Linked DNA regions of Pelodiscus sinensis. The main gene of each other region encodes a partner of the protein of the gene in region 2 in a complex. Links are inferred from orthologs where the notes say so. Each region holds a gene or a part of one and is shown on either strand. Other genes may lie near its edges. The genes, in order: PBRM1, SMARCD2, SMARCC2 and ACTL6B.

Region 1 (7,885 bases), on a different chromosome or scaffold from region 2:
CACATTCCTTTAAAAACAACCAATAAGGCAGACACACAGATGTCAAGAAAACTATTTTTTGCTATGTGGGCATCCTTCGCATTACTGCAGAAACCGTTTTCAGATCATTGGTAAATGTCACAAAATGACAGAGGAAACTAGGGATACAAAGGGTTAATACTTAAGAGATAAGCATGCCCTTACTGGCTTACCTGGGTAACCCTGGCCCTTTCTGACAACAAAAATTAGTACAGGATCTCCCCCAGGTGCCGCCACCTTGGACAGGAGGGCCAAAACTGAAGCCCAAGCCTCACCACCCCAGGGTGCAGGGCAGAAGCCAAAGTCCAAGTTCTTCAGCACTGACTGGGGGAGGAACGGCAAAGCTCTTGATGACAGGGGTCTGGCTCTGACCATAGGTCCCTGTAAGTCTAGCACCAATCTTGGCAATACATTAAAATGGGGCTGCATTCCAATTTGGGGTCCTGACACACAGTTTGAAAACCTCTGCTCTGGACTAAATACAGTAAACTTCCGATAATCCGGAACCTTTGGGACCCACATTATCAGATATGCCGGACTATCAGAAGGAGGGGCTATGAGGGGGGGGGGAATGACACCCCAGACCCCCTCATAGCCCCCCCTTCCGATAGTCCGGCTCTGCCCCAGGAATCCCTGATTCAGCCGCTGCTGAAACTGACCAGCAGCGGCTGAATCAGAGACGCCTGGGGCAGAGCAGCTGGAGTGCTGCTGGGTTGGTCCGGTAGTGCCAACCCAGGCGTCCCCAAGAGCAGCTGGGGTGCTGCTGGGTTGGTCCCACAGCGCCGCTCCATGGAGCTACTGGACCAACCCGGCAGCACCCCAGCTGCTCTGCCCCAGGTGTCCCCAAGTCAGCTGCTGAAACTGACCAGCGGCTGACTCCAGGAAGCCCGAGGCAGAGCTGCTCTGCCCCAGGCTTCCTGGAGTCAGCCGCTGGTCAGTTTCAACAGCGGCTGAATCTGGACGCCTGAGACAGAGCAGCTGGAGCGCTGCCGGGTTGGTCCCCGCAGCGCCACACCTCGGCTCTGCGGGAACCAACCTGGCAGCACCCCAGCTGCTCTACCCCAGGTGTCCCCAAGTCAGCTGCTGCTGAAACTGATCAGCGGCTGATTCCAGGAAGCCCGGGGCAGAGCAGCTCTGCCTCAGGCTTCCTGGAGTCAGCCGCTGGTCAGTTTCAGCAGCGGCTGAATCAGGGACACCTGGGATGCTGCCCAGTTGGTCCAGCAGCCCCGAGGGGCAGAGCTAGGGGACCAACCTGGCAGAGCCCCAGGTGCTCTGCCCCCGGCATCCCCGATTCAGCCGCTGGTCAGTTTTAGCAGCGGCTGAATGGGGAAGCAGGGGGCAGAGCAGCTCCAATGGTCCGGCTGCCCGGAGCACTTCCGGGTTCCTGATGGTGCCGGACCATCAGATGCCGGACCATCAGAGTTTTACTGCATGCCTAATTCTTTCAGCCTTTTCTCAGAAAGGGACAAAATACCGCTTCTGTCCCAGAGAACATGTCAGGGCAGGTAGAAATGATAGACAAATTCACGTGAATGACAGTCTTACAAATCAAAATACAGAAACAGGATGATGTAATAGATGGTCTCGGCCTCAATTTTTTCACCTGTAAAGTACTGGGTGCATAGTTAACAACTGTAGAATACTTGAAGATGCGTATGTAGCTATACAAAAATATTTTATTAATATTTATAGGGCCATATATAGACCCAATCCTCCCAAAAACCTTTTACCGAAAAGGCCTCACAAACTTTCCTAGAACATGTATTCCTTTAAAGTACCATTTAGTAATATTTGAATATTAGCAGACCTGTATTTTACCCAGTAGTTGATCAAATAAGTGGTCACATTCTGTCCCTTGTCCATTACCCCTTCAAAAATTAATAAAGAAATAAATATGTGCATTTAATGTTGCTAACTTTATCCTTTTACAGTACATCATTCCCTCCACTGACTTTTCCTCATATGGTCAAACGTGTTTCAGGATTTATCAGTAATCATATAAAATGATAATATGTTCCCTTTAGGGATATAAAATTCCAGTTAAGTGGTTAACCAGTTAAAGTATTTGATCAGTTAACCACACATGAGGAGGAGTTGAAGGGGAAGCTGCCCCAGCCAAAGCCCCTTGTGCTGTGGCAATGAAGACTGTGGAATCCCCATCCCTGGAAGTTTTTAAGAACAGATTGGACTAGGGGTGTTAAATATTGGTTAATTGGTTACTCAGCTATTCTATAGTCCCCGGTGAGGGGCTGGCAGGCAGTATGCTCTGGCCCCACTCCCGAGGAGCCCCCTGCCACTCCGTGCTGCAGCAGCCCCTGTCCGTGGGGAGAGGGGGGAGCTCCCAGACCTGGCGCAAGCTGGAACTGAGCCGGGCTGCCTGCCCGCCTGGCTCCTCATACGGTTTAAATGCAGAGCCGCAGCAGGGGGTCGGTCCCAGACCCCGCGCAAGCCAGGACTGAACCCGGCTGCTACAAGATGTACTGGGGGAGGAGAGTGGTGTATCTCTAGCACGGACTGGTCGCTTTGCTGATCAGCTAATCGGCTCCGCTGTTACCTCCCTCGGCTGGACACAAGGGATGATGCAGGGTTAGTCGGTCCTGGCTCGGCATGGGCGGGGCCTCCCCCTACACGTCGAGGGGGCTTTGCCGTGCCCCAGGCCGTGCCCCCCGGGGTCAGCGCTGGGCCAGGGCTCCCGGGTCCGTACGGCGAGCGGACTGCCCGCTCCGTGCCTCAGTTTCCCCCGCGGCGGGAGAGCTCCGGGGGGGGCGCAGCGGTGCGAACAGGGGCTGGGCCCCCCCGGGCAGCGCGGCGGCCACACAAAGGGAAGCGGCGGCCTCCCGCAGCCCGGCCCGCGCTTACCCAGCCGGCCTCGCTCCGCCTCCGACAGCCGCGGCCGCGCTCGCCCCCCGCCACCGCTGCTGCTGTTCCGGCCGCTCCTGCCCACTGCCGGGCCCGCCGCTGCCGCAAAGCCCGCCCGGCCGCCAAGCGAGCCCGCCGCGCGACAGCGCGCGCAGCGGCACCCGCCTGCTTTACGGCAGCGTCGCGGGACCCGCCTGCCCCTCGCCAGTCGGCGGCCTCCACGTGCCGAGAGCGGAGCCCGCCGCCGCCGCGCCATGAAGCGGCCCAGTGAGTGCGCGCGTGCGAGGGGCTGGCAGAGCCCCCCCCCCCCCGCGAGTTCTTCCGGGCTGCTGAGGGGAGGGGGTGACGGCGGCTGCGGCTGGGACCCCGGGGCCCGTCGGCCCCCCCCCCCCCCCCCCGGCTCCTACGAGCCTGCGGCGGCAGGGCCAGGCCACAGCGCGGCTCGCCCCACGTGCTCGCAGTTGCCTGCGGGATCGGGGCCCGCGTGTGGAGCTGAGCTCGATTTTTTCCAACCCGGGGTTTGGGGGGCGGCCCGAAAGGTGCCGCTTCGGGCCCGGCCCAGCGAGTCGGTTCAGCCCAGGAACAACGGAAATAGCGGTTAATTTTGAAAAGTGAACGTCGATTGATTTAAACCTAAGATGTTGTCTTACATTCAAATCTGACCCTTTAAAAAGATAAAACATAACGGGTATGTCTGCAGTACGGGGCCAAGTCGAATTAAGACCTGCAGCTTCAGCTACATGAATTGTGTAGATGAAGTTGCTTAATTCAGCTTTTGGCTACGCTGCAGGAAGTCAAAGTAAGAGCCACTCTTCCATCGACTTCCCTCCCTCCTGGTGAAAGCATGGTCACTGCATCAGCCAGAGTGCCCCTCTCACTTCCAATTAGCTGTCTTAACTAGACAGTTAATTCGAACCCTGGAAGAGCGACAGCTTCCATCTTCCTCTACTGTAGACATACCCAAAGTGAAAAAACACCCAAAAGTGACTAAATTGAAACAAAAAAATCAGGACAAAAATTGTTTTGATCAAATGAAATATTTTGATCGATTTTAAAAGTCCCTTTTTAGTTTTCAGTTCAGCAAAATATTTTGAGGTGGGGAATCATTTGGATTAAATAAAATTTTGGTTTTTTTTCCCATCTGAACCAAAAATCTGTTGTTTGTTAAGCTTCTTTGGCTACATGTTTTTGGCTTCCACATTAGTGTTGCTCATAAGATTTTCATTTGGAAGATCTACTTAATTGCAACCTGTTCTTATGTTTTCAGAGTTGAAGAAGGCTAGTAAGCGCATGACCTGCCACAAACGATATAAAATTCAGAAAAAGGTAGGTCCCAGTGCCAAATTTGGTATTAAGCATGCTTGGCTATATTTCAGCCCTCATCATAGAATATATAAAGACATATTTTTGTGGTGTTTAGAAACTGTAAATTTCAGCTCTGCATTCAAATTTGGGTGGGGGATTGAATGTAAAGTTTTGAATAGAACCCATTTCTGTTTAAAGCATAACTAAATGAAGGTGCTTGAATGACCAAAATGCTTTTGGAGTGTGGTGTTATTTTTATTTAACTTCTTATATCACAGTAGTACTAGTAACTAGCCGAATAATTTCAAAGCTGTTGGTGTTTCTTGTTTGAATAAACATTCATAAATTGATTATGGCCTGAGTGCAATTTGTATTATAATGTGAATGCTAGATACTAGTTACAGAGAGGTAGCCATGTTAGTCTGATCTTGCTAAAACAAAAAAAGCAGTCATGTAGTACTTTAAAGACTAATAAGGTATGATACGATCTGAAGAAGTGGGTCTGCCCCACAAAAGCTCATCACCTAAGTAAAGACTAACAAGATAGTTTAAGTGCTAGATATTAATATCCCAGTGCCAAGAATTCACGCATGTACAAATCATTTTCTTTTCTAATGCCAAATACCTTGACAAATAATACAAAAATTATGTAATACAGAACTTTTGTGAGTGGACATATGGTTCAACTACAATGGGAAGTTACTTTTAAATTTAGGGAACAAATCCACAGTGGCAGAGAGATGGACATAACTTGAGTCTTGGGATCTTTAATTTCTGCAGTAGTCGGGGATCTGTTTATTTAAGTACAGCTACATGCTGATTCAGTCTGTAATTGAAAGCCCTTCACTGCAAACACAGAAAAATCGTATATACGTGACTATGAAAGAGAGAGAATGGTGAGGGTCTCTGTATCAAACTGGGTTTGTGACTCCCATACTGGATTTTATTTTTTCTTGCCTATAGGTTCGGGAGCACAACAGAAAACTCAGGAAAGAAGCCAAGAAACGTGGACACAAAAAGCCCAAGAAAGATCCAGGAATTCCCAACGCTGCACCATTTAAGGAACAAGTTCTTCGTGAAGCTGAGCAAAGGAAACAAAGGGTAAATTACAGGTTAGAATAGAATGAAGGGGTTTTGTGCATATTCCCATTCCAGGGAAGCTTGGTATGTATCATGCACTATAAATAGTCTTAATAGCTCTTCACTCTAAAATACTACAGATACTTTTCCAATTTAATATATTAGATAACAACTAGCTATACTAAATCGTGTGGAATTTTTTAGTATTTTGTACTGTAACTGTATAGAAGTAAAATACAAATGTGTGGAATTTTTAGCATAATTAGTTTCCTACAAAGAATAAGATTTCTACATAACCTACACAGCTGTCTTTAAAAAGGAAAAAAATTGCTGAAGACTGCTGTACATAGATATTTGTGGATAGCATTCACTGTCTGCTCATGTTACTACACAGAGGGACCACATCTACCATCATTTAGAAGGTGTCTGTCACTATAGTATTTCTGTCTGTCTTGGCACCAGAGTTAACTGAGTGCCTCAAAACGTTTAATTGGCAGTGAATGTATCAACTTTTCATCAAGTAAGAGAAGGAGTAGAAATAAGCTTGCATCAGCCAACCAGTTCCTTAAGCTCCCAGCCATGATTTCTTAATATTTCCATACCAAGATTGAAAGGATAACGGAGACTGAATATCCCCTTTCCTTCAGTGTGACCACACTAGGTCAAGATTAAAACAAAAACCATACTCAAGAGTGAAATCTTGGTCCCATTGATGTTTTGCCATTAAGTCATTGCAACCAGAATTTCACTCCTTATGTGGATAGAGAACTTAGCTTTCTAGGGCGCTTAACCTGGCACAATTCATTAGCACTAAAAACTGCAAAATATTCAAAGAATAATTCTAGGTGGTAATGTGTTGCACTTTTATAGTGCTGCTCTTTATTTCTGAAGCACGTCATAAACAATCCTGATCATAAGTGGGAAGGAAATATACTCTTTAGCTTATGAAATGTTGTCCATCTTGTGTTGCAATTAGCTTGAAGAACTAAAACAGAAGCAGAAACTTGCTAGGCAGAAGAACCTTGAAAAGAAAAGAAAGCTACAAGCTAAAAAGGATGCTACCGAAACGAAGAAACATCCAGAAGAAAAGGTATGTGTTTGTAGTATAATTTTCCTTTTTTTCAAAGAAGCTAGTTCACTTGCAGCACAATAGAAAAGTTTCTATCCTCTCATAAAGCCTAATCCAGCACCCTTTGAAGTCTATGGCAAAATTCCCATTGTTTTCATGTTGGAGCAACAGAAAAGACTTGTTGATATATTTAGTGAGGATATGGCAATTATAATGCATCCGTTTTAATCAAAGTAAATATAGGGTGTCTGTTTTAGTGCTAACATCCATTTTCATGCAGTGTTCAAGAACAATATTGCAAATATCACAGCCTGGCTAGGTCTGAGTCCATTAAGATGTATACGTGTGATAAATGTAATCCTCGAAGTATCTTTTTTCTTAAGACATGTATTCCCGGATTTGTTGCTTTTTCATGTTGTTGGAAATATTGTAGTTCTAACTGTTATTACCTTCTGTTGTGTAAAGACAATATTTTAATTCAAATTCTCTTATCTGCTCCCACCCTCTTTTTATTCAGCAATCAACCATGAAACTAAAAGCACAATCGAACAGACTGCTGGATAAAAATTCAAATAAATCATTTTGCAGAGAACTTAAAAAGGTAGGAACTTTTAATGACCACTTTCTATATTTTGATCAGCATCCAAACACCCGTGAAATTGATACTTTCCTTTTCAGGTATTTTGTTTCTATTCAGAGGTGGACATCGTATGGAGTTTAAAGTTTGAGAACAATGCACTTTCAGGGTCCCAGTCTTGTAAAGGTGCTGAGAATTCTCACCTCTCATTGAGGGTAGTCGGCACTTTTCAGCAACATGACTTTTGGACTCAATGAGCATTTTACCAAAGTGCTTCAGGATCAGGTTATTAATTATTAGACTCTTAATTCTCAATTAACTAATATCTGCCTGCTTAAAGAAAAAGATAAAGGGGCTTTACTTTTCTGTCCTGCAAGACAGAGCCCTACAGTACCCTTGTATTACTATGTTGTTTTAGCAATAGCAGAGTAATACTGACCTGTGTTAGAGAGAACTAACTGAGAAATCCATTGAGCTGTAGCCAGTAGGATGGTGGGAAAAATTAAATTCTGTGGTATTCTAGTTTTCCTTAAAACCTTTTATCATTTCAGATAACAGTGACAAAGATTTACACACACACAAAGATTGCCCTATTAAAAATTGAATGAAGCAAGTCGATCAGTGCGCAACATTGATCTGTTCTTGATTGACCCCATTTATCTCTGCTACTGTAGAGCAGTGGTGGGGAGCCTCAGGCCCGGGGGCCTGTTGCGGCCCCTGAGGCTCATTGTAATGAGAGGATAGTATTGATGATTTCAAAGATATTCTCTATAATGCTGTTTCTAATCCTGTTTCCACTTCAGGTGATGGAGGTTTCAGATATAGTCCTGCAGGTTTTAGATGCCAGAGATCCCTTGGGCTCTCGGTGCTCCCAGGTAGAACAAATCATTACTCAGTCTGGAGGAAACAAAAAGCTACTATTGGTGTTAAACAAAATTGGTAAGTGAAGCAGTTTGTTCTGTACAGACATTTAGTCA
Region 2 (7,328 bases):
TGACAGAGTGTTTGCACAGTAACTCCACAAGTGAGTCAGCGTCATCTGCTAACGTTTTAATGGACTTTAAGTGGCTAAAAGCCATGCAGAACCAGGAAAAAGAAGGCGTAAACAGAGGCTGAATAGGGGATAAGCCTGCAACAGCAGCTAGACAAAGTTTCTTTAACATCCTGATCACATGCTACAAGATTTGAACAGAATACATTTCTCAGTTAACAATACAGAGCCTGTAATATCATCCTGCACTGCAAACAGTTACCATCTTCAGGAGATGTTAATCCCGGAACCAAGGGTGTTATGTGTTAGTTTCCATAGCATTTTTTGGAAACTGGGCAAGGACAGCCTGCCATCCAACCTTAGCCAAGCAACTCAGGCCAGCCTTTTCTAAAGCAGATTGTAACACCCACCACAGGGTGCAGAGGGGCTATGTGATGACCTATTGTGTGTCCATAACTCACCACCTTAGAAGAGGAAGCACCAATGGGCTGCTGAATAGCCAAATCAAGCCCGCAGTGTCTCCCCCTCTTAGAACCTGGGAAAGCAGACAGCTGTTTGATGCAATTAGTTTGTAGGAGAAACAAAAATAAGTGTTGGCTGGATTCAAGAGCATTCCTATTGAGTACTACAGCTAATACTACAGTATCTCTCTCTCTCACACACCCCCACCCACCCACCCGCCTCAGGAAAAGCAACCCTAGTTCTCCATCCCACCCCTCTGCCAACAGACACCGAACAGCCTGCAAGCACGTCTGCACTGCAGCTGGAAGTGTGCCTCCCAGCCTGGGTACACAGACATGTGCTAGCTTCGCACACCAGAAGTACCTGTGTGGACGCTACACCATAGGCTAGCCCCTTGAGCAAAAGCTTGGCCAGCTCCCTGGGTCTGTATCTGAGTGGCTAGCCTGTATCACCACCTAGGCCACAGCTAGTTTCTGTACACTAGCTTAAGCATGCTCCCAGCTGCAATGCAGACAGAACCTAGAAGTTACCAGACTCTTGTACAGGGAACCAATTGGGGCCCCAAAAGTGCAAAGAAAAGAATTGATTAGGAATCTGTCTCTTGTCCTGTTGTTTTCTAATGACTCTCTTGCAGGAAACCCTCCCCCCAAACACACACACTGCTATTTTAGGCACCATAAAAACCACCAAGCTTCTAGTCAATCTAATCCAGTCACTTTTCAAGTAGAATCCACCATCTCCATTTCATCTTCTCCAAAACAGTCTCTCAACCCCCTCCACCTACCCAGTGACAGCTCCTACCAGGAGCAATCTGAAAAGGATCTCAGCCAAATTCAGAAAAAGGAAATTAAGCATGAGCTTGTTCCCATGAGTCCCTGTCTCATCTCTCTCCTAAGTTCCCTACTGCTTCGGAGAATATGGTGCCACAAGCTGTACTGGTACTACCATTTTTTTAAACTAGTAAATGGAATGACAACATCCAGCCCTCTGGTAAATCCACCTAACTGGCAAATCTTAGGGAACAATTTTCCAGACTCTTCTTCAGTTGACATATTAGGCCTCTTTCCCTACTTTTTCTAAATTGCATTATGGGGAACGAGCTAGAATGGAGAAGCAGAACAGCATAACCACTGTCTACTTGAGCCTAGGTTACTGCTGCACATTATTTTAACTAGACCCTGGCAGCTGTGAGAACCAAATGCTGCGTCCATGACTCCGTTTATCCATCTGTGCCTGGCATGAGGAGCATGGCATTTGTTTTTAAATGCAAACTATGCTGCCATGACCCCGTGTAACTTAGTGCTCTGGGTAGGGCCACACATTGTGAGCACACCTGGAACCAGAGGCAGATGGCCACTTTGTGAAGCTGAGTGTCAGATTGAATACCTGGTGCCTCCGTGGTTTAAGGACTGCGGTTCTAACAGTGAGAGACCTAGTTACCAGCAGGGATGAGCATGTGTGTACATGGCTAACTGATGAGCCTGGGCTCATGGGTTTATGTGCATGGTTACACACAGGCCCTGCCCTGTCTGTGCTGCTGCGGGGAGAAGTGGGGGGAGGTGGGATCCGGTGTTCAAGGGGAGCCAGCACTCCATGTAACTACTGAAATATTCAGTGATTACACATTTACCAGAATAAACATACAGTATTTTAACATCCCTAGTTACCAGAGAGGCTGCCCCAGAGCTGGGACACACTGCCCCATCCGGGAGCAGCAGCAGCACTCCAGCTAGAGAGCCCCCTCCCCCAGGGCATGGGACTGGCAATAATTTCCTCCCTTGGGGGGGCTTCAATCCCCAAGGGAGGGCTGCGGTGTACACTGGACAGGCCGGGAGATGGTATCTGGCCAGGGACTGTTCTGGGAGACTTGCCCACAGCAGGTCCCCCCACTTCCCTCATCCAACACCACTGGACACTTTCCCTGGGTCCCCCCCCACCCTCCCCACATCACAAATGGTCCCTCGGTGCTGAGCCCCCGGCAACCCTAAGTAACCTCCCCCCCACCCCCATGACCTCAGCCCCTCTAAATATCCTCCTCCCCTCCCCCACCCCCCAGTGCCCTGAGCCCCCCGAAACCTCCCCCCCACACCCCCAGCATCCTCCTCCCCTCCCCTCCCCCCAGTGCCCTCAGCCCCCCCAGAAACCTCCTTCCCCTCCCCTCCCCCACCCCCCAGTGCCCTGAGCCCCCCGAAACCTCCCCTCCCCCACCCCCAGCCCCCCAGCATCCTCCTCCCCTCCCCCACCCCCCAGTGCCCTCAGCCCCCCCAGAAACCTCCTTCCCCTCCCCTCCCTCAGCCCCCCCACGGCCCGCACCTGGTACGCCGCGGCGGCGGGCCCCATGGCCCGGTATCCGGCGGGCCCCGCGGCGGCCGGGCCTGGGCCCCGCATGAGGCCGGGCCCCGCGGCGGGGGGGGGCGCGGCGGCGGGCGGCAGGGGGCTGAGCGGGAACGCGCCGCGCCCGGACATCGGCTCGCGCGCCTGTTTACCAGCAACCCGCGGCGGCGCCCTGGGCGAGTCCCGCGCGGCCCGGCCGGCCCCGCCCCCTGAGCCGCGCGCCCCTCCGCAACGAGCCCCGCCCCCTGAGCCGCGCGCCTCTCCGCAACGAGCCCCGCCCCCAGCTCCGGCCCCGGCCCCGGCCCCGGCCCCGCCCCCTGAGCCGTGCGCCTCGCCCTTGACCGAGCCCCGCCCTGTGGGCACTGGCCCCGCCCCCTGAGCCGCGCGCCTCTCCGCAACGAGCCCCGCCCCCAGCTCCGGCCCCGCCCCCTGAGCCGTGCGCCTCGTCGCAACGAGCCCCGCCCCCAGCTCCGGCCCCGCCCCCTGAGCCGTGCGCCTCGGCCCGAGCCCCCTCCTCTCTTCAAGGAGCCCCGCCCCCAGCTCTGACCCCGCTCCCTGAGCCGCGCGCCTAGGCCCCAGCCCCGCCCTTCGCCGAGCCCCGCCCTCTGGGCACTGGCCCCGCCCCGTGAACCCCACGCGCTCACACTAAGGCCTTGGCCCCGCCCCCTCACGGGGCCCGTCCCCTGAGCCTTCCGCTTCGGCCCGAACTCCGCCCCCACGAGCCCGCCTCCTGGGCCCCGCCCCCTTGGCCCTGCCCGCTTCTGCGCCTCAAACCCGCCCCCACGTGGCCCCCTGAGGGGGGCTCAGGCCGGGACCCGGGGGCGGGCTCGCGGGGAGATTGACAGATGTGCCGCGAATTAGAGCGACGGGAGCGTCGCGCCCCCCCCCCCTCCCCGCGCAGAGAAGCTGGCTGCTTTAACTCTCCTGCTCCCTGCTGGGCGCGGGAGGAGGCGGGAGTGATGGGGGGGGCTGCCCCCCCCCGTTCATTCATTAACCTCGCTCCCCTCCCCCGCCCCCCTCGGGCACCCAGAGGGTTTGGGGCTCCTCGTGCTTCTGCATCCCGGGAGCCGGACACCCCAGGGGAGCAGGACTTGGCATGTTGGATCGAACCCGCCCCTGCTCGGAGCCAGGGGTGAACCCCCGTCACGGGACGCTGCTCGCAGGCGCCAGGCGGGAGCTGGTCTGTCCTGAACCAGCTCCCCTCATGGACCGGCTGTCTGAGGGACTGGGGGGGCTCAGCTCCTGGAACTGAGCCGGGCGGCCTGGCTCCTAATACACTTGAAAAGCAGAGCCGCAGTGGGGGTGGGTCCCTAATCCGGCATAAACCAGGAATGAGCTGGGCTGCAGGCCAGCCTGCTAAAAAATGTACTGGCAAGTGGTAGGAAATGCGTGTAGTCTATAGCGGTTAATCGACTACACTATTACATCCCACTTTACCAGTTAAGTGGTTCAACATTCACATTCCTGTGTCCCAAACAGCTCTTGGGCATTCTTAACTTTTCTCTAGTTACGCTAGTTAGGAAATGTTTACACTACAGTAGAAGCTCAGGCTTGAATCCAACATCCTCCCTTCTGTCTACACACAATTCTGTCAGACTTAGCCTGGACCCAAAGGGTACATCTACACTACGGGACAAAGTCAAAGTAAGATACCCAACTTCAGATATGTTAATTGCATAGCTGAAGTCCAAGTAGCTTAACTCAACTTTTGGAGCTGTCTACGCTGCAGGCAGTCAAAGGAAGAACACTATTCCTTCCACTTCCCTTTTCCTCTTGAAAGCAGGATTACCAGTATCAATTGGAGCGTCCCTCACAGTTTGAATTATCTGTCTTAATTAGCTCTGGAAGATCAACAACAGCAGCTTCAATCATCTGTGCAGTGTAGCTGTACCCTAAGACTCTGCAGAGGTGAAGCATTCAAGCCCAGGTCCCACTAGGATTCAGGCCCAAATGTCATCATTTTGCAGCATAGACACAGCTTGGATTCCCAGGGGGTATGTCTACACTACCCCGCTAGTTCGAACTAGCGGGGTAATGTATGCATACCGAACTTGCTAATGAAGCCCGGGATTTGAATTTCCCGGGCTTCATTAGCATAAAGCTGGCTCTGCCATTTTTAAAAGCCGGCTAGTGCGAACCCCGTGCCGCACGGCTACACGCGGCACGGGCTAGATAGTTCGAACTACGTAGTTATTCCGAACTATCTGTACACCGCGCGGCACGGGGTTTGCACTAGCCGGCTTTTAAAAATGGCGGAGCCAGCTTTATGCTAATGAAGCCCGGGAAATTCAAATCCCGGGCTTCATTAGCAAGTTCGGTATGCATACATTACCCCGCTAGTTCGAACTAGCAGGGTAGTGTAGACATACCCTGAGAGTCCATCAGGGTATGTCTACACTACCCCGCTAGTTCGAACTAGCGGGGTAATGTATGCATACCGCACTTGCTAATGAAGCCCGGGATTTGAATTTCCCGGGCTTCATTAGCATAAGCGGGGAGCCGCCATTTTTAAATCCCCGCTGCTTCGAACCCCGTGTAGCGCGGCTACACGGGGCTCGAACTAGGTAGTTCGGACTAGGGTCCTATTCCGAACTACCGTTACTCCTCGTGAAACGAGGTGTACCGGTAGTTCGGAATAGGCACCCTAGTCCGAACTACCTAGTTCGAGCCCCGTGTAGCCGCGCTACACGGGGTTCGAAGCAGCGGGGATTTAAAAATGGCGGCTCCCCGCTTATGCTAATGAAGCCCGGGAAATTCAAATCCCGGGCTTCATTAGCAAGTGTGGTATGCATACATTACCCCGCTAGTTCGAACTAGCGGGGTAGTGTAGACATACCCTCAGTGATTTCTCTCAATCCCATGAGAGAGTGTCCTGTTCCTCTCCACTCCAAAGGTAGCCAATCAACTCCCAAGAAATGGAAGCAACTCACCTTGTTCAAGTACAGCGGCTTGTCACTGAACCCTTGCTTTTATTCTGAGTGCTGAGCTGCATACACAGCGGCTACGTCTAGACTGGCAAGATTTTCCGCAAATGCTTTTAACGGAAAAGTTTTTCCGTTAAAAGCATTTGCGGAAAAGAGAGTCTAGATGGCACGAACGCTTTTCTGCAAAAGCACTTTTTGTGGAAAAGCGTCCGTGCCAATCTAGACGTGGTTTTGCGCAAGAAAGCCCCAATCGCCATTTTCGCCATCGGGGCTTTTTTGCGCAAAACAGTTTTCAGCTGTCTACACTGGCCGTTTTGTGCAAAAGCATTTCCGGAAAATGGCGTTTGCCCGAACGGGAACATCAAAGCATTTGCGCAAGAAGCACTGATTTCGGACAGCAGAACGTCAGTGCTTTTGCGCAAAATCAAGCGGCCAGTCTAGACAACTTGCCAGTCTAGACACAGCCAGTGAGTGCGCTGTGTTTGCAATTGCTGCTGACCAGAAGTCCTTTGCCAAGTGCACTGCTTCCTGGGTGCAGTAGCAGCTCAGGAGCCAGCAAATAGCACAGAAAACAGAGAAATCTGGGTGGGAATTTGTAAGAGGAGGGGTTGCACAGTGTTTTTGTTTGATAGTTTGCTTCCTTCTTGACATGAAGGGTTGGGGGAAAGCCTACAGGTGCATAGGATCACATGGATCCGACAGAGACATCCCTTTAAGGGAAGGTCTGTTAATAGAGATTCTCTATGTCCTAAGAAAGAGGAGAGGATGGAAGATGATAAAATATGGGTAAGATCTGATTAGAAACGGTCAACTGAAAAGAGTCCCATTCAATTACATCATGTAATGGTGGACAGCTACATAGTGACATTTTAAAAATGCTTCTGTACAAACACTGGAAGTCTAAATAATAAGATGGGTGAACTGGAGTCCCTCACATTAAAGGAAGATATTGATATATTAGGCATCACAGAAACTTGTGGAATGAGAATAATCAATGGGATACAGTACTGCCAGGGAACAAAATATATCAGAACAACAGAACAGATTGTGCTGGTAGAGGAGTGGCACTGTATGTGAAAGAATGCATAGAATCAAATGAAGTAAAAATCGTAAATGAACCAAACTCATTTTCTATGGAAAGTAATTCCACACTCTAATACTGTGAGCATAGCAGTAGGGATATATTACCTTGCCACCTGACCAGGATGGTGGTATTGACTATGAAATGCTAAGGGAGATCTGAGAGGCTATAAAAATAAAAAACCTCAATAATAATGAGGGATTTCAATTATCCCCATATTGACTAGGTACACCTCACCTCAGGATGCAATAAAGGGATAAAGTTTCTTGACAACTTAAATGACTGCTACTTGGAGCGGCTGGTTTTGAAACCTACAAGAGGAGAAGCAATACTTGATTTTGTCCTAAGTGGAGCACAAGATCTGGTCCAGGAGGTGAAAATAGCTGGATTTCTTTGAAATAGCGACTAGAATATATATATTAAAAAAAACTTTCCTGTGTCAGGAAAAACATCGTAACAGCCCAAATACTGTGGCATTTAATTTCAGAAAAAGGAATTACACAAAAATGAGGTTAGTTAAACAGAAATTA
Region 3 (7,591 bases), on a different chromosome or scaffold from region 2:
TCTGGCAGAGCCCCAGCTGAAGCTAGATGGCCCAGCAGGTGGGGAGAGGCTGAGGGGATCGCTGGCTGGGATGTTCTGTCCCCAAGGGTGCCTTTTGTCAGACTGAGTGCAGCTCTTTTTAAACAGAGGCAGCATTGGGGGCCTGGCCCTGGGGTCTGTCTGGGAACCAAGACTCCCAGGAAATAAACAAGCAGATCATATCGGCCATTCCATACAAAGGCCTTTCCCTGAGGACCATGAATTGCAAGGGGCAGGAATTTGGCTGACCACGGTCCCGCCTCTGCCCCAAGGAATGGCTTCTTCATCTTTCCCTGGGCCGCTTTCTCCTTCCACACTTTGTCTTGCCTGTGATGACTGAGAGAAGGACGGTCTCTCGCCATGTGTCTGTCCAGCACCCAGCCCAAGGGTGCCCTGATGGCGTTTGGTTCCCCCCCTCCAGCATCACTGGAATAATCCAGAGCAATAAACTGCGCTTGTTTCAAACTCTGAGGCAACCCAAAGCAAATGCCCCATGTAGCTATCTGTAGATGACAGAACAAGGGGCAATGGTCTCAGGTTGCCGTGGGGGAGGTAGAGGTTGGTTATTAGGAAAAGCTAATTCCCTAGTAGGGTGGGAAGCGCTGGGATGGGTTGCCTAGGGAGGTGACGGCATCTCTATCCTTAGAAGTTTTAAGCCCCGGCTTGCCAAAAGCCCTGGCTAGGGCAATGTAGTTGCGGTTGGTCCTGCTTTGAGGACGACTGCCTGAGGTCTCATCCAACTCTAGGATTCTGCTGGAGGTGACGCGTATTTCACCCAATTGGTATGGGTGTGGGCACAGAGATGATAGTCAGCAGGCAGCCTGGCACATGGGGGCAGAGCCTTTAGCTGAAGATAGTTAGGGGGAGGGGAGTGAAGGACGTAGGAACGGCCGCACTGGGGCAGACCAATGGCCTCTCCAGCCCAGCCGCCTGTCTTTCACAGTGGCGGTCGCCAGGGCTTCAGAGGGAATGAACAGAAGAGGGCAATTAGCTAGCGAGCCATCCCCTGTCCGCCAGTCCCAGCTTCCGGCAGTGGTTCAACCCTGCGAGGGTGTGAAAAGGCCAATTCCCAGTGAGCAGGGATGGCCAGGTCAGCCTGTCACTCCAGAGCCAGGAGCTGTCTGGTGACTCAGCTTCTCGCTGCCTGTGGAAGGTCAAAGGCAACAGCCTGGGAACCACAGACCCATGCTGCTTGCATGACAGCACAAGGGGGAGGCGAGGGGGTTGGAAGAGCCAGGTGGGGCCCGCAGGACCCCGCCCACACGCCCTATGCTGAGACAGCGCAGCAGGTGGCTGGATGATCGTAACCCTAAAGCTACCCTTGCAAAGAAAAGACTCCTCGCAGCCCAGATCTGGTGACGGTTTCACGGGAGTGAGGGATCCCAAGCCCTAGTATAGGGGCTTGGCTCGGTCACTTTTCCCCGCACACAGGCTGGCCTTTGTCTCGGCACAGGCAGGCAAAAGGACTTGGGTGAAAGATGGACAAGGATCCGAGGGGAGACCGACGTTATCAGCTGCGGGGCTGGGCCCCCCCGAGAGGGGATAGGAAATGGAGCAGTTCCTAGTGGGAGCCTGGCTCGCATCTCCGCACACCAGGAAGGGACACGGCTCCCAGCCACGGTGGGTGAGATGGGGGACCCAAGAGAGTGTTAAGGGGGCACCTTCCCCAGGACAGATGTGGTTAGGTGGGGAACAACCCCCCTCCCCCTTCCTGTACAAATCAGATCAGCCCCATGCACTGTAAGGCCTCTGCGGAGCTGGGGGGAGTAGAGGGGGAATTCAATGAGGTGCTGAGACAGGGGTAGGTGATTGGAAGGGAATTAAGGCGCTGGAAGGCGGAACAGGAGGGTCGCTGGGGGTGAACGAGGGGTTCAGGCAAGGAGGGGAAAGAGGCTGTAATGGAGGAGCAGGGAAGGGACTGCATAGGGGAACGGGGGCCCTGAGGAGATGGGAAGGGGCTGAGGGAATTCAGTGGAGGCGGGGGTTGTGAGCTGCCAGTGAGGCTGGGGATCAGCAGGGAGGATGGGGCACGGGGGATGTGGGTCAGTATGGAGCACAGGTGCCAGTGGGGCACAGAGGATGGGGGTCAATGGAGAGGGCAGGCACCAGTGGGGCATAGAGAACTGAAGTCAGTGGTTAGGACAGGCACCAGTGGAACATGAGGGGGGAGTGTCAGTGGGGAGGACAGACACTGGTGGGGCACGGGGGAGGGGGTCAGGGGGGAGGACAGACACTGGTGGGGCACGGGGGAGGGGGTCAGGGGGGAGGACAGACACTGGTGGGGCACGGGGGAGGGGGTCAGGGGGGAGGACAGACACTGGTGGGGCACGGGGGAGGGGGTCAGTGGGGAGGACAGACACTGGTGGGGCACGGGGGAGGGGGTCAGGGGGGAGGACAGACACTGGTGGGGCACGGGGGAGGGGGTCAGGGGGGAGGACAGACACTGGTGGGGCACGGGGGAGGGGGTCAGGGGGGAGGACAGACACTGGTGGGGCACGGGGGAGGGGGTCAGGGGGGAGGACAGACACTGGTGGGGCACGGGGGAGGGGGTCGGTGGGGAGGACAGGCACGGGGGGGGGGACAGACACTGGGGGGGGCAGACACTGGGGGAAACGGGGGTCGGTGGGGAGGACAGGCGCACGGAGGGGCACGGGGGGGCACGGGGGCGGGTGAGATGTGGGTGACCCAGGGGGCTCGAGGCGGGCTGACGCCTGTCAGTGGGGTGCGGCGATTGGGGGGGCAGAAGGGGCGGGGGGAGGGGCCCGAGGAGCGGGGGCCCGTGGGGGGCGAGGCGCAGGGCGGGGGGGCCGGCCGGGCCGGTACCTTCTTGTAGTTCTTGCCCAGCCAGAGCCGCGCGCTGTCGAACTGCCCCACCGTGTCCGCGGCCTCGTAGTACTTGACGTTGGGGCCGCCGTCCTTCTTCCGCACCGCCATCTTCCCGCCGCGCAGCGCCCCCTGCCGGCCGCCCGCCGCCCCGCGCCGCCATCTTCCCGCCGCGCAGCGCCCCCTGCCGGCCGCCCGCCGCCCCGCGCCGCCATCTTCCCGCCGCGCAGCGCCCCCTGCCGGCCGCCGGCCGCCCCGCGCCGCCATCTTCCCGCCGCGCAGCGCCCCCTGCCGGCCGCCCGCCGCCCCGCGCCGCCATCTTCCCGCCGCGCGGCGCCCCCTGCCGGCCGCCGGCCGCCCCGCGCCGCCATCTTCCCGCCGCGCGGCGCCCCCTGCCGGCCGCCCGCCGCCATCTTCCCGCCGCGCGGCGCCCCCTGCCGGCCAGCCGCCGCCATCTTCCCGTCGCGCAGCGCCGGGGCGATGGGGGGGGCGGGTTGTGGGGCTATGGGGGGGATCTCTGGGGTGGGGGGGTGCATGGGGGGAGGCGGTGGGGGGGGCTATGAAAATTGCTCCCGGGCTGAGAGGAAGTCCGGGGGGGGAGGGGCTGTGGGGATCGCTGGGGTTGGGGGGGGGGGTTCCGTGGGGCGGGGGCTGGAGGTTTCGAGGGGAGAAGAGGGGGCTGGGGGTCCCGTGGGGAGGGGCTGGGGTGCCATGGCGGAGGGGGCGGCTGTGGGGCTATATGGGTATCGCTGGGACTGGGGGGTCCCGTGGGGAGGGGGCAGAGGAAGCTGTGGGGATGCCGGGGGGGAGGGGGCTGTGGGGCACAGGGGGCTATGGGGATGGCAGAATGGGGGGACAGAGGAGGCTATAGAGGTTCGGGGAGGGGGCTGTGGGGTGGGGGCTGTGGGGCATAGGGAGATGGGGGGGTCTCAGGATGGGAGCAGCGGGGAGCTCTGGGGATAGGCGGGGAGAGGCCGTGGGGCGCACTGGGAAAGCCGTGGCCAGGAGGGGCGGGCCCGGCCCTGTGGTGGAGGGGAGCAGGGGGTCACGATGGGGTTGGGGGGCACTCGGGGGTCTGCAGCACGCGTGGGGGGAGGAAGATTCTGTTGCTCCCCCCCCCGCCCCTCTCCTATGTGGATCTTCTAGCCGGAGCTCGGCGAAGCCCTGGCCGGGTGTCACGGTGGCCGAGTGGTTAAGGCGTTGGACTCGAAATCCAATGGGGTTTCCCCGCACAGGTTCGAATCCTGTTCGTGACGGCGACTCGTTTTTGTGGGGAAGGCCCAGGCGTTAAACCCACCTTTTAAAAAAACACTTGGGGAGAGGGCGGGCGCTTTAGGCACAGGCAGGGCTGTGGGGGTGAGTATGTTGTGTTTGCATTTGCCGGCAGACAGGAGGGGGCAGTGCTGCGGGGAGGGGGGCGCACATCTGACCTGGGGGGTGTAGAATACAGGTGGCAATCCCTGAACTGGGGGATTCCAGAGCTGGTGGCCCTCTGCTACAGAGGGCTATGCTGGGGGCATGCAGAGCTGCTTGGGGTGCACCTAGGCTGCTTAGGGGGTGCAGAGCTGGCTGGGGGGTGCAGAGCTGCCTGGGGTGCATCTAAGCTGGGTGAAGGGTGCAGAGCTAGCTGGGGTGTATTTAGGCTGCGTGGGGGGGTGCAAAGGCATTTGGGGTACATCTGGGCTGGGTATGGGATGCAGAGCTAGTAGGGGGCACATGTGGGTTGTGGGAGGGGGGGCTGCAGAGCTGGTAGGAAGGACACAGCTGGATGGGGGGATGCCAGAGGAGGGCAGGGATTCATCTGTATGTGTGTGTGGGGTATGTGATCTGCTATTGCAAAACTCGTGGGGGGCACAGCAGTACTATCTGTGGGGCAGGGGACACAGCTGGCTGGAGGAATGGGGGAGGGGCGTTAGCAGAACTTGCTAGCACAACTTGATTTGCTCTGGGTGTAGCAGCTGGGGGATACCTGACTTGCCAGGGAGTTGGCTAGAAAGGTGGATTTGCTTTGCAGGTCAGTGGGTAGAAAAGCAGCAGGGGGCAGGGGAGACTGGCAGAGTATGGGGCTCTCCAGGGAAGCAAGCCCCTCTTTGCCGGGGACCACCCCAGGGCGCTTTGGGATGAGGCAGAGCATAGAGGCCAGGTCCTAGCAAGACCCCCACCCCTCTTGCAACAGGATCAAGGGTTGGCCCTTTGTTCCCATTGCTTCGGGCAAGCCCCATTCTGGCCTCCCAGGCAGAGAGCAGAGCATGCAGCCACCCTGCAGCAGGGTCAGGAATGTGAACCCCGATCTCCCGTGGCCTTGCCCTGGCGTCTAGCTCAGACGCCCGGCCAGCCTCTGAGAGCTTGGGGGAGCGGGTGTGGGGCCTGAACTGGCCGGGCAGGGGGGAGCTCCCCGAATACCTGCAAAGCTGCCACCTTCTAGTCCCACTTTAAAACCCACCTGTGCTAGGAAACCTGCTGGGCCGGGTCTTTGCTGAGCACTGTGGGCCCAAGGGTTCTCCTGCTGCCCCGATAGGCTGCCTGTGTCCAGCTAAGGGCTCATGTCTTAGGCTTAGATCGTTCCCCTTTGTTTGTACAGTACCTAGCACTGTAGGGTCCAGGCCCATGACTGGACCTATCGGTGCAGCAGTAATGCCTGGCACAGGTTTAGCCTTCCTGTCACAGTGGCCGACGTAGCCCTCAAATCCAAGCTTCGTTTTAAACCCAGGTGTAGTTCCATTCCCCACAGCCCCCCACGACCAGGATCACGTTTCACTTCCAGAGGAAGGTGCCAAAAATCCCCCTGGGGCAGATGGGGGGGGGTAACGCTTGTCTCCGCTGAACCCCTAACTCAGCTTGCCTGAAATCCTGCAGCATGGCATAGGCAAAGCTCCCCCGCCCCAGGAGACCCTGCGTGCCACGGGCCTTTTGTCTACAGGCCAGATATTGTGCCTGCCCCAGGAGCAGGGGGGCTCTTTTGTCGCAGGAGCTCCCTTGTCCAAGCTTGGCCAAAGACTCTCAGCAGCTGGCTGCTTTATAGCCAGTTTCCCACATTCTCGGGCCTGTAGCTGGGGGCAGCTTTTCAGCCTGGCCCCCAGGACCTGGGCTCACGGGACAGTCTGGCCCTTCACAGCTCCATGAATCCGCTTACCCGTCGGTAATGTCCTGCCAGCGGCAGGGTGAGCTTATCAGGCCCAGTAGCACATGCAGGGCGCCTGGCACAATGGGCGCTGAGTGCGGGTGAGATCCCAAGCCCTCTGAGAAAGGCCGAAATAGAAGGGGGAGCTTTTCCCAGCTGCTTTCTGCAGGACAAGAAGCCCCGGAGGCCTAGCCTGGGCAGCTGCGGGGTGTTTAAACCCCATCCCGGGCTGCGGAGATGGAATTGCTGATTGGGAGCCAGCTGAGTTCTCGGGCCTGGCGTGGGGCAGGGCAAGTGGTGCCGTGTCATTCACAGGTGCCCAGGGACCCAAGGTCAGCTCCCAGACAAATGCACTAGGCAACGCAGTATGGAAAGGAGGTGGGCAGCCCTTGGTGGGGAAGGAACAAGTTAGGAACGATTTAGAAAAGCTAAACGTGCACACATCCATGGGCCCGGATTTAATGCACCCGAGGGTACTGAGGGAGTTGGCAAATGTAATTGCAGAGCCTTTGGCCATTAGCTTTGAAAACTCGTGGAGATCGGGAGAGATCCCGGATGACTGGAAAAAGGCAAATGTAGTGCCCATCTTTAAAAAAGGGAAGGACAATCCAGGGAACTACAGACCAGTCAGCCTCACCTTGGTCCCCGGAAAAATTATGGAGGGGATCCTCAAGGAATCCATTTTGAAGCACTTGGAAGAGGGGAAAGTGATCAGGAATAGTCAGCATGGATTCACGAAGGGCAAGTCGTATCTGACCAATCTGATTAGCCTCTATGATGAGGTAACTGGCTCTGTGGACATGGTAAAGTCAGTGGATGTGATATATCTTGACTTTAGCAAAGCTCCTGATATAGTCTCCCACAATATTCTTGCCAGCAAATTAAGGGAGAATGGATTGAATAAAAGGACTGTAAGATGGATAGAAAGCTGGCTAGACTGTCTGGCCCAATGGGTGGTGATAAACGACTCGGGGTTAGGTTGGCGGTCGGTTGCTAGCAAAGTACCCCAAGGATCTGTTCTTGGACCAGTTTTGTTCAACATCTTCATTAATGACCTGGAGGAGGGGATGGATGGCACCCTCAGCAAGTTCGCAGATGACACTAAGCGAGGGAGATAGATAAATACGCTGGAGGGCAGGGAGAGGGTCCAGAGTGACCTGGACAGATTAGAGGATTGGGCCAAAAGAAATCTGATGAGGTTCAACAAGGACAAGTGCAGAGTCCTGCACTTGGGACAGAAGAATCCCAAGCATTGTTACAGGCTGGGAACCGAATTGCTAAGTAGCAGTTCTGCAGAAAAGGGCCTGGAGATTACAGTGGATGAGAAGCTGGAGATGAGTCAGCAGTGTGCCCTTGTGCCAAGAAGGCGAATGGCATATTAGGTGCATTAGATGAGCATTGCCAGCAGATCTAGAGAAGTGACTATTCCCCTTTATTCAGCTCTGGCGAGGCCACATCTGGAGTATTGTGTCCAGTTCTGGGCCCCCCACTATAGAAAGGATGTGGACGCATTGGAGAGGGTCCAGCGGAGGGCGACCAAAATAATTAGGGGGCTGGAGCGCATGACCTATGAGGAGAGGCTGAGGGATTTGGGTTTGTTTAGTCTGCAGAAGAGAAGAGTGAGAAGAG
Region 4 (7,176 bases), on a different chromosome or scaffold from region 2:
ATGATGGGTCTGCAGCATGGGCATAGCAGTGGGTCAGATGGAGGGACCATGGCAGTGCATAGCAGGGGGTGTGGGGAAAATGCCATGGGAATCTGGTGGGGACACTGGTTGAGGGGCCATGGCTGGGGGGCCCTGTGGCTGGGGCAAAGCAGGTTGTCCCATGTAGGAGGGGAGGAGTCCCGGGAGCCCAAGCCTCACTCATGCCATTCTTGAGGGGCGACAGGACTTCTGTGTTCTCCCGCGGGACATGCAGCGAGTTGGTATCGATGTAATAAACCTTCCCTGGCTTCTTCTCCTTCTCCCCATCCAGCTCCAGCGCCGCCTCTTCCGGGGCCAAAAGTCCCACTGTGGTGGGGAAATCTGCCTGCAATGGGGCAAGAGGGTGACATGCAGGGCTTGTCTCTACGGGCACCGGCTCCCACCCGGCTCCAGGGCAAGGGACTGGCTGGCTCAAGGGGGCAGGGAATGGAGTATGGGGCTTGTCTCCTCTAGGGGGCGCTGGTTCCCATCCAACCCCAGAATAGGAGGGTTTCATAGGGCCGTGGTGTCCAACCAGTTCTGAAGCACTATACGGGCTACTGCTATAGACAACTAGCCACACTCAACCAGCCAAATAGTCACATTGCTCAAGCCACATACCACACTCAACCAGCCAAATTAGCCACATGTGGCTAGTGGCTAACATGTTGGACATCGCGGTCATAGGGGAAAGTTGAGGGGGGTTCCAGGAATGCCTGGATGTACCTTTGGGCAGTCTTCTCCAGCATAACCAGCTCGCACTGAAAATGAGCCGATGTCAAAAACAAGAGCTCCAACCTCATCTGGGAGAGAGATAGAAACAGTCACTACCAATCACCTATGCAGCCACCTCTGGGACAAGGACCCCTCGCCCAGCACTGAGATGTGGCCACCTCTGGGACAGTGTATCTGGTTATCCAGGGACCCTTCACTCAGAGCTGAGATGCAGCTACCTCTGGAGCGGGGTGGCTGGTTACACAGGGACCCCTTGCTTGGCACTGAGATGTGCCAACTGCCGGGGTGGTGCACTGACCACTCTGCAATGCTGCACAGAGGCACAGACAATCCCCGCTCCAACAGACAATGTCTGGATCTGGAATTTGCTCAGATGCTAATGTTCATGCGCCAAGAAAAGGGGCCAGCCCTGATTCCAAGGGGAGAGTACCCCCTGCTGACTCTAGCCCCTCCCTGCAGCAGAGCACCCCCTGTGGGTCACGTGCCAATGCTGTGAAGAAAAAAGGGGGGCAGCCTTAAAGAGGATCCCTTACCTCCTCCATAGACACCCCCACTCATCCTGGCTCTGCTACGCCCCCTGCCCCGTACAGATCCTTGAGGGAGGTCCGGGATGTAGGGGAGGCTGGGTGCAGGGGGCTATTCAGCACCCAGGCGACTGGACAGCGACCGTGGAGGGGAGGGGGGCTATAGAGAGAGACGTAGAGGGGAGCTTCCACCTCAGCCAATCACAGGCTGCACCCCCCCAACCGAGGCAGCTCCTGATTGGTTAACAAAATAGACAATAAGTGATAATCTGGGGTTTTCTTAAAGAGGCAGGTAGGTGATTAGTGTCTGGGGAGGGGGTTAGTTCTCAAGTAGCAAGCATTATTCCCCTCCCAGAGTCAGGGAGAGAACCCAGGAGTCCTGGCTCCCAGCCCTCCACCCCACTCTAACCCACCAGATCCCACATTCTATTTAATTACTCCAGGTACCTCTCCAAAAATTATTATCCAAACATCCATCCCTGCCCCTCTTCATCCAACCATACATGCTCCCACCTCCTCTAGCCAGCCCCTTTCAACCTCCCCCCACTCTGCAATTCCATGCCCTGGGTTGTTCCAAAACAGCAAAATTCACCTAGAGGAGGGGACAGATCCTGAACTAGGATGTACAGGAATTCAGGAGGGGTTCAGAGTCAGGACTCCTGGGTTCGCTCCTGGTTCTAGGAGGGGAGTGGGGGCTGGTGGATCAGAGGGGAGGGGAGGGCTGAGAGTCAGGACTCCTGGGTTAGTGGTTAGAGCAAGGGAGGCTGGCAGCCCGGACGCCTGGGTTTGCTGGGAGGAGAGTGGGGGCTGATGGGTCAGGGCAGGGGCGGGGGCTGGGAGTCAGGACTCCTGGGTTCTCTGGGAGGCAGGTGGGTTAGAGCAGGGGGGACTGCGAGTTGATTCCCCCTTCCTAGTTTGACTGACCCATTGCAGAGAACATCAGGGTTGGTACAACTCATCTCTCCCCTCTGCTTTCATTAGTTGGTCTCGCCCTGTCCTGGTATCTCCCATCTTTATTTCCTCTCTCCCTCCTCCCCCCCCCCCCAGAAGCTGAGTTGTCTCCCTCCCTCCTCCGCCCCCCAGGAAATGAGCAACCTCCCCTGCTTGTTCTCCACCCATCCAGGACTGAACCCTGCCTGCCCCTTCTCAGAGAGAGTTGGTATCTCCCGTTCCTACTTGGGGGGGGGGGTGCTCTGACGGGTCTCCCTAGAGAGTTGGTATGGGTCATTTTCTCCTTTTCCTCATTGGAGCATCGGTCTCACGTCACCCCGGAATCGATTTGGTGTATCCTATTGTTAGCCCCCTTCTAAATACAGTGGGTAGTCTCACCTCCCCCCTTGAAGTGCATTGGTTTCTTCCACCTCTGACCGCCCCCTCCCTATAGTAAATGGTCTCACACTCATAGAATGTAATCAGAGAACACTAGAACTGGAAAAGACCAGTTCCCTACCCTCGTGGCAGGACCCAGCACCATTCTAGACCGTCCCTGACAAGCGTCTGTCCAACCTGCTCTTAAATATCTCCAGATCCCACAACCTCCCTAGGCTGGGAAGTGAATTGGTTTAGCCCATTAAAGGATGAATTCACTCTCACCACAGAAACGAATCCATAGCACCCCTCATATGGAAGGTGGTCTCACCCGGTGGACCAGGAAGTGGGTTGGTATCTCCCATTCCATAGCACCCCTCTATATGGTAGATGGTTTCTCCCTCATTCCTCCCCCGCCCCTTTCATTTGGTGCGTCTCGGGCTCTGGGCGCGGCCGCCCGCAGCCGCATCACCGGGGCTAGCAGGCGGGGGGGGGCGGATCGCTCCGCCGCTGAGGGCCGAAGCGGAGCCCGATCCGGATCCTTCCGCCCAGGGGAGCGGCCGCGGAAAGGAGTCCCCGGCCCCCCAGAAGCAGGCTGCGCCAGGTAGGAGGGAGGAGAAGGGGGCCCCAGCTGTCAGATCGGCAGGGGCTGGGCGCAGTCACGAGCGGGCCCAGGCTCCCGTCCCAGCTGCGGCCCGGAGAGCTGCCCACGCTGCGCTTCCCCCCTCGCAGCCCCGCACCGGGAAAACAGCCCCCCTGCTGGGGAGAGAACCCAGGAGTCCGGGGCTGCCGGCCCTTCCCCCCCCTTCCGGGCCGGGGACCCAGGAGTCCGGGGCTCCCGGCCCTTCCCCCCCCCCCTTCCGGGCCGGGGACCCAGGAGTCCGGGGCTGCCGGCCCTTCCCCCCCCCCCTTCCGGGCCGGGGACCCAGGAGTCCGGGGCTGCCGGCCCTTCCCCCCCCCCCCCCTTCCGGGCCGGGGACCCAGGATTCCGGGGCTGCCGGCCCTTCCCCCCCCCCCCTTCCGGGCCGGGGACCCAGGAGTCCGGGGCTGCCGGCCCTTCCCCCCCCCCCTTCCGGGCCGGGGACCCAGGAGTCCGGGGCTGCCGGCCCTTCCCCCCCCCCCTTCCGGGCCGGGGACCCAGGAGTCCGGGGCTGCCGGCCCCTCCCCCCCCCCTTCCGGGCCGGGGACCCAGGAGTCCGGGGCTCCCGGCCCTTCCCCCCCCCCCTTCCGGGCCGGGGACCCAGGAGTCCGGGGCTGCCGGCCCTTCCCCCCCCCCCTTCCGGGCCGGGGACCCAGGAGTCCGGGGCTGCCGGCCCTTCCCCCCCCCCCTTCCGGGCCGGGGACCCAGGAGTCCGGGGCTGCCGGCCCTTCCCCCCCCCCCTTCCGGGCCGGGGACCCAGGAGTCCGGGGCTGCCGGCCCTTCCCCCCCCCCTTCCGGGCCGGGGACCCAGGAGTCCGGGGCTGCCGGCCCTTCCCCCCCCTTCCGGGCCGGGGACCCAGGAGTCCGGGGCTGCCGGCCCTCCCCCCCCCCCCCCCTTCCGGGCCGGGGACCCAGGAGTCCGGGGCTGCCGGCCCTCCCCCCCCCCCCCCCCTTCCGGGCCGGGGACCCAGGAGTCCGGGGCTGCCGGCCCTTCCCCCCCCCTTCCGGGCCGGGGACCCAGGAGTCCGGGGCTGCCGGCCCTTCCCCCCCCTTCCGGGCCGGGGACCCAGGAGTCCGGGGCTGCCGGCCCTTCCCCCCCCCTTCCGGGCCGGGGACCCAGGAGTCCGGGGCTCCCAGCCCTTCCCCCCCCTTCCGGGCCGGGGACCCAGGAGTCCAGGATAGTGCCATTGCCCTGGGGGGCATTTACTGGCTGTGGAATTTCTTACGGAAGCAAATGGGATCAGCAGTTATGCCCAGTTCGGACAATCTGCTATGCCCCGGGCCACACTCACCCACTGCCTGCCTCCCAGCCAGTCAGTGGCTGGTGGGAGCACCCTGCTATCCTGTTCCCTGCCCCCCATTTTTGCTCCATCCTAAATCTTGTCTGAGTCTCCTATCCTGTTGCCTTGGCAACCATCAGTTGAAGGGAGCTGGGGCTAAGCCTCTCCCATCACCACAGCAACTACTGATTGTCCTCAGCGCCCCCCCCCCCCGCCCCCCAGATGCTGTAACACACTGGAAGGAACACAGAGAATCCGCAGTGCCAGACACCTGCCCCCCCTCAGCCACTCTGGCCCCATGACTGGCCAAGAGAATGGGAAAAATAATGCTTGGGAGCCAGAGCTCCTGAGTTCTCTTCCCTGGCTCTGGGAGGGGAATGGGGACTGGGTTGGGCCTGGTAGGGCTGGGAGCCAGAACTCTCCACAGCAGGTCTAGGGGCCCCATATCCCACTAAGCATTCCTCCTCTGTGCAGGTTCCCGCCAGCTGAGCGGAGCCGTGGCGCCAGCGCTGCCCCCCCACCACAGCCATGAGTGAGCTGGAGCAGCTTCGGCAGGAGGCAGAGCAGCTGCGGAACCAGATCCGGGTGTGTGGAGCCCATGGGGGTTGGAGCCCCCAATGCTGAACCCAGGAGTCCTGGCTGCCAGACTTCTCCCCCATGGGGGTCTTTATGGCTACTGTTTTTTTGGGGGGGGGGTAGCGCTTCCTGCTGTCCACATGGGGGCACTAGGAGTCGACACCCGAGTTCTGTCCCTGGCTCTGGGAGTAGGGTTAAAGCAAGGGGGGTATTGGGCAGTTCAGATTTTAACCCAAGGTCTCCCTCCCCCCCCCAGGATGCGAGGAAGGCATGTGGTGACTCCACTCTGAGCCAGGTGAGCAGTGTTGGGCCTGTTACTGGCATCCCCATGCAGCCCCTTTCCCCTGCCTCCAGGTTCCCTGGCTGGGTGCGGGTCCATGCCTCACCTGTCCGCCCCTCCCCTAGATCACAGCCGGGATGGACCCTGTGGGACGTATCCAGATGCGGACACGACGCACCCTGCGAGGCCACCTGGCGAAAATCTATGCCATGCACTGGGGCACTGACTCCAGGTGAGAGCTGGGATGAGCGAGCTATATGGGCATCCTTCACCTAGCACTCTGATGTGGCCACCTCTAGGGCAGGGCATCTAGTTATACAGGGACCTCTCTCTCAGGCTGAGATGCAGCCACCTCTGGGGCAGAGCATCTGGTTAGAGAGGGAACCTGGCTCAGTGTTCGTGGCCAGGAGAGGAGGATCATTTTCTCCATTGGCCTGGGGGGGGGGGGGGGGGGTCGCTTTGGTTTTGATTGGCCTTGGCCTAGTTACTGGGAGGGGCAAGGCAGGGGAAGGGCTGATAGCAAATAATGGGAGTATTTTGAGCCACCACCCACAGCGCAGTGCCACTCTGGCTCATCAGAGGGCTCTCTGCCTCTTAGGCTGCTGGTCAGTGCATCGCAGGACGGGAAACTCATCATCTGGGACAGTTACACCACGAACAAGGTGAGGGAGTTGACTGGTGAGATACTGGGGTAAAGGGTCCCAGGAAGGGGGCAGCTGACAGGATACTGGAATAGATGGGCTGAATGGATTTGGCAGGGAGGATACCAGGGTAAAGGGCCTCTGGGTGGGGGAGGGGGGAGGAAGCAGGTGTAGATTTAGATGGGTCCCAGGGTAGAGGGGGGAGAGACAGCAGGTGGGATACTGAGGAAGAGAGGTTGGGGGGGTACCCCCAGGATAGCAGGGTAGATGAGCCTGGAAGTGGCAGCAGGCTGGATACTGGCTTAGATGGGCTAGGGAAGGGGACATTTGGCTTCATACCTGGGTAGGTAGAGTAATTTCTCCTTTTCCCCAGGTCCACGCCATCCCACTGCGTTCGTCCTGGGTCATGACTTGCGCTTATGCCCCATCAGGGAACTATGTGGCCTGCGGGGGCCTGGATAACATCTGTTCCATCTACAGCCTGAAAACCCGGGAGGGGAACGTCCGTGTCAGCCGAGAACTGCCAGGGCACACGGGTGAGCCCTCGACTGCTAGGATTTACTCCTCCCTCGGGGAGGGAACAGGGGTCTGGTGGTTACAGCGTGGGGGCTGGGAACCCAGATTCCTGGATATGCGCTCCTGCCAGTACCCCGGCTCCCAGCTAATCAGCATCTTGCTGTCCCCCCCGGAAGGTTACCTCTCCTGCTGCCGCTTCCTCGATGACAATCAAATCATCACCAGCTCCGGGGACACCACCTGGTGAGCCTCTTCCCCTTCTTCAGGCCCCTGTGCTTGGGGGGGTGTGTAGAGGAATCAGCTCCCCAGAACCACAGCTTGGGGGGAAAGGATAAGGGAAGGCTGGGTCTGTGGAGGTGCCCAAGGGAGAGGCTGGAGTAGGTGGGGCCAGTGGGTGGGCAAGAGGGTAGGGATGGATTGCAGCTGGCAGGCAGGATCAGTGGGACCGACCATGGAGTCAGCTGGTGGGAATGGGGGCAGAGCCTGTGTGAGGGGCAAAGTAGGTGGTGGGGATGGGGGTGGAACCAACAGAGGGGAAGAGCCAAGGTGGAGCCAGGAGAGGGCATTCCAGCCTGTCTCCCCTCTCCAGTGCACTGTGGGACATCGAGACGGGACAACAGACAACAACATTTGGGGGGCACAGTGGGGATGTGATGAG

The links.
Region 1: SMARCD2 (region 2) and PBRM1 share a complex: the UniProt entries of both Homo sapiens proteins name them as parts of the SWI/SNF-B (PBAF) chromatin remodeling complex. The link is inferred for Pelodiscus sinensis from reciprocal best matches to the Homo sapiens genes SMARCD2 and PBRM1.
Region 3: SMARCD2 (region 2) and SMARCC2 share a complex: the UniProt entries of both Homo sapiens proteins name them as parts of the BAF complex. The link is inferred for Pelodiscus sinensis from reciprocal best matches to the Homo sapiens genes SMARCD2 and SMARCC2.
Region 4: SMARCD2 (region 2) and ACTL6B share a complex: the UniProt entries of both Homo sapiens proteins name them as parts of the BAF complex. The link is inferred for Pelodiscus sinensis from reciprocal best matches to the Homo sapiens genes SMARCD2 and ACTL6B.

The regions. Positions count from the first base shown.
Region 1 is NC_134721.1:41,054,309-41,062,193, reverse strand, and holds the start of PBRM1 (protein polybromo-1), read right to left. Parts: upstream 3,016-7,885; 5' UTR 2,878-3,015; intron 2,605-2,877; coding exon of another isoform or gene 2,595-2,604; exon of another isoform or gene 2,580-2,594; intron 562-2,579; exon of another isoform or gene 1-561. Other genes in the region: GNL3 (guanine nucleotide-binding protein-like 3), read left to right, coding at 3,631-3,676, 4,145-4,203, 5,146-5,283, 6,239-6,352, 6,849-6,932, 7,712-7,847. UniProt on the Homo sapiens protein: Involved in transcriptional activation and repression of select genes by chromatin remodeling (alteration of DNA-nucleosome topology). Required for the stability of the SWI/SNF chromatin remodeling complex SWI/SNF-B (PBAF).
Region 2 is NW_027466048.1:882,033-889,360, reverse strand, and holds the start of SMARCD2 (SWI/SNF-related matrix-associated actin-dependent regulator of chromatin subfamily D member 2), read right to left. Parts: upstream 3,003-7,328; 5' UTR 2,926-3,002; coding exon 2,773-2,925; intron 1-2,772. UniProt on the Homo sapiens protein: Involved in transcriptional activation and repression of select genes by chromatin remodeling (alteration of DNA-nucleosome topology).
Region 3 is NC_134729.1:4,054,297-4,061,887, reverse strand, and holds the start of SMARCC2 (SWI/SNF complex subunit SMARCC2), read right to left. Parts: upstream 3,017-7,591; 5' UTR 2,953-3,016; coding exon 2,842-2,952; intron 1-2,841. UniProt on the Homo sapiens protein: Involved in transcriptional activation and repression of select genes by chromatin remodeling (alteration of DNA-nucleosome topology).
Region 4 is NC_134734.1:9,006,977-9,014,152, reverse strand, and holds the start of ACTL6B (actin-like protein 6B), read right to left. Parts: upstream 3,001-7,176; 5' UTR 2,871-3,000; intron 2,838-2,870; exon of another isoform or gene 2,218-2,837; coding exon of another isoform or gene 2,202-2,217; intron 2,196-2,201; exon of another isoform or gene 1,870-2,195; intron 1,512-1,869; exon of another isoform or gene 1,438-1,511; 5' UTR 1,312-1,437; coding exon 1,287-1,311; intron 822-1,286; coding exon 745-821; intron 365-744; coding exon 199-364; intron 1-198. Other genes in the region: GNB2 (guanine nucleotide-binding protein G(I)/G(S)/G(T) subunit beta-2), read left to right, coding at 5,034-5,090, 5,338-5,376, 5,487-5,593, 5,960-6,023, 6,376-6,538, 6,695-6,761, 7,108-7,176. UniProt on the Homo sapiens protein: Involved in transcriptional activation and repression of select genes by chromatin remodeling (alteration of DNA-nucleosome topology).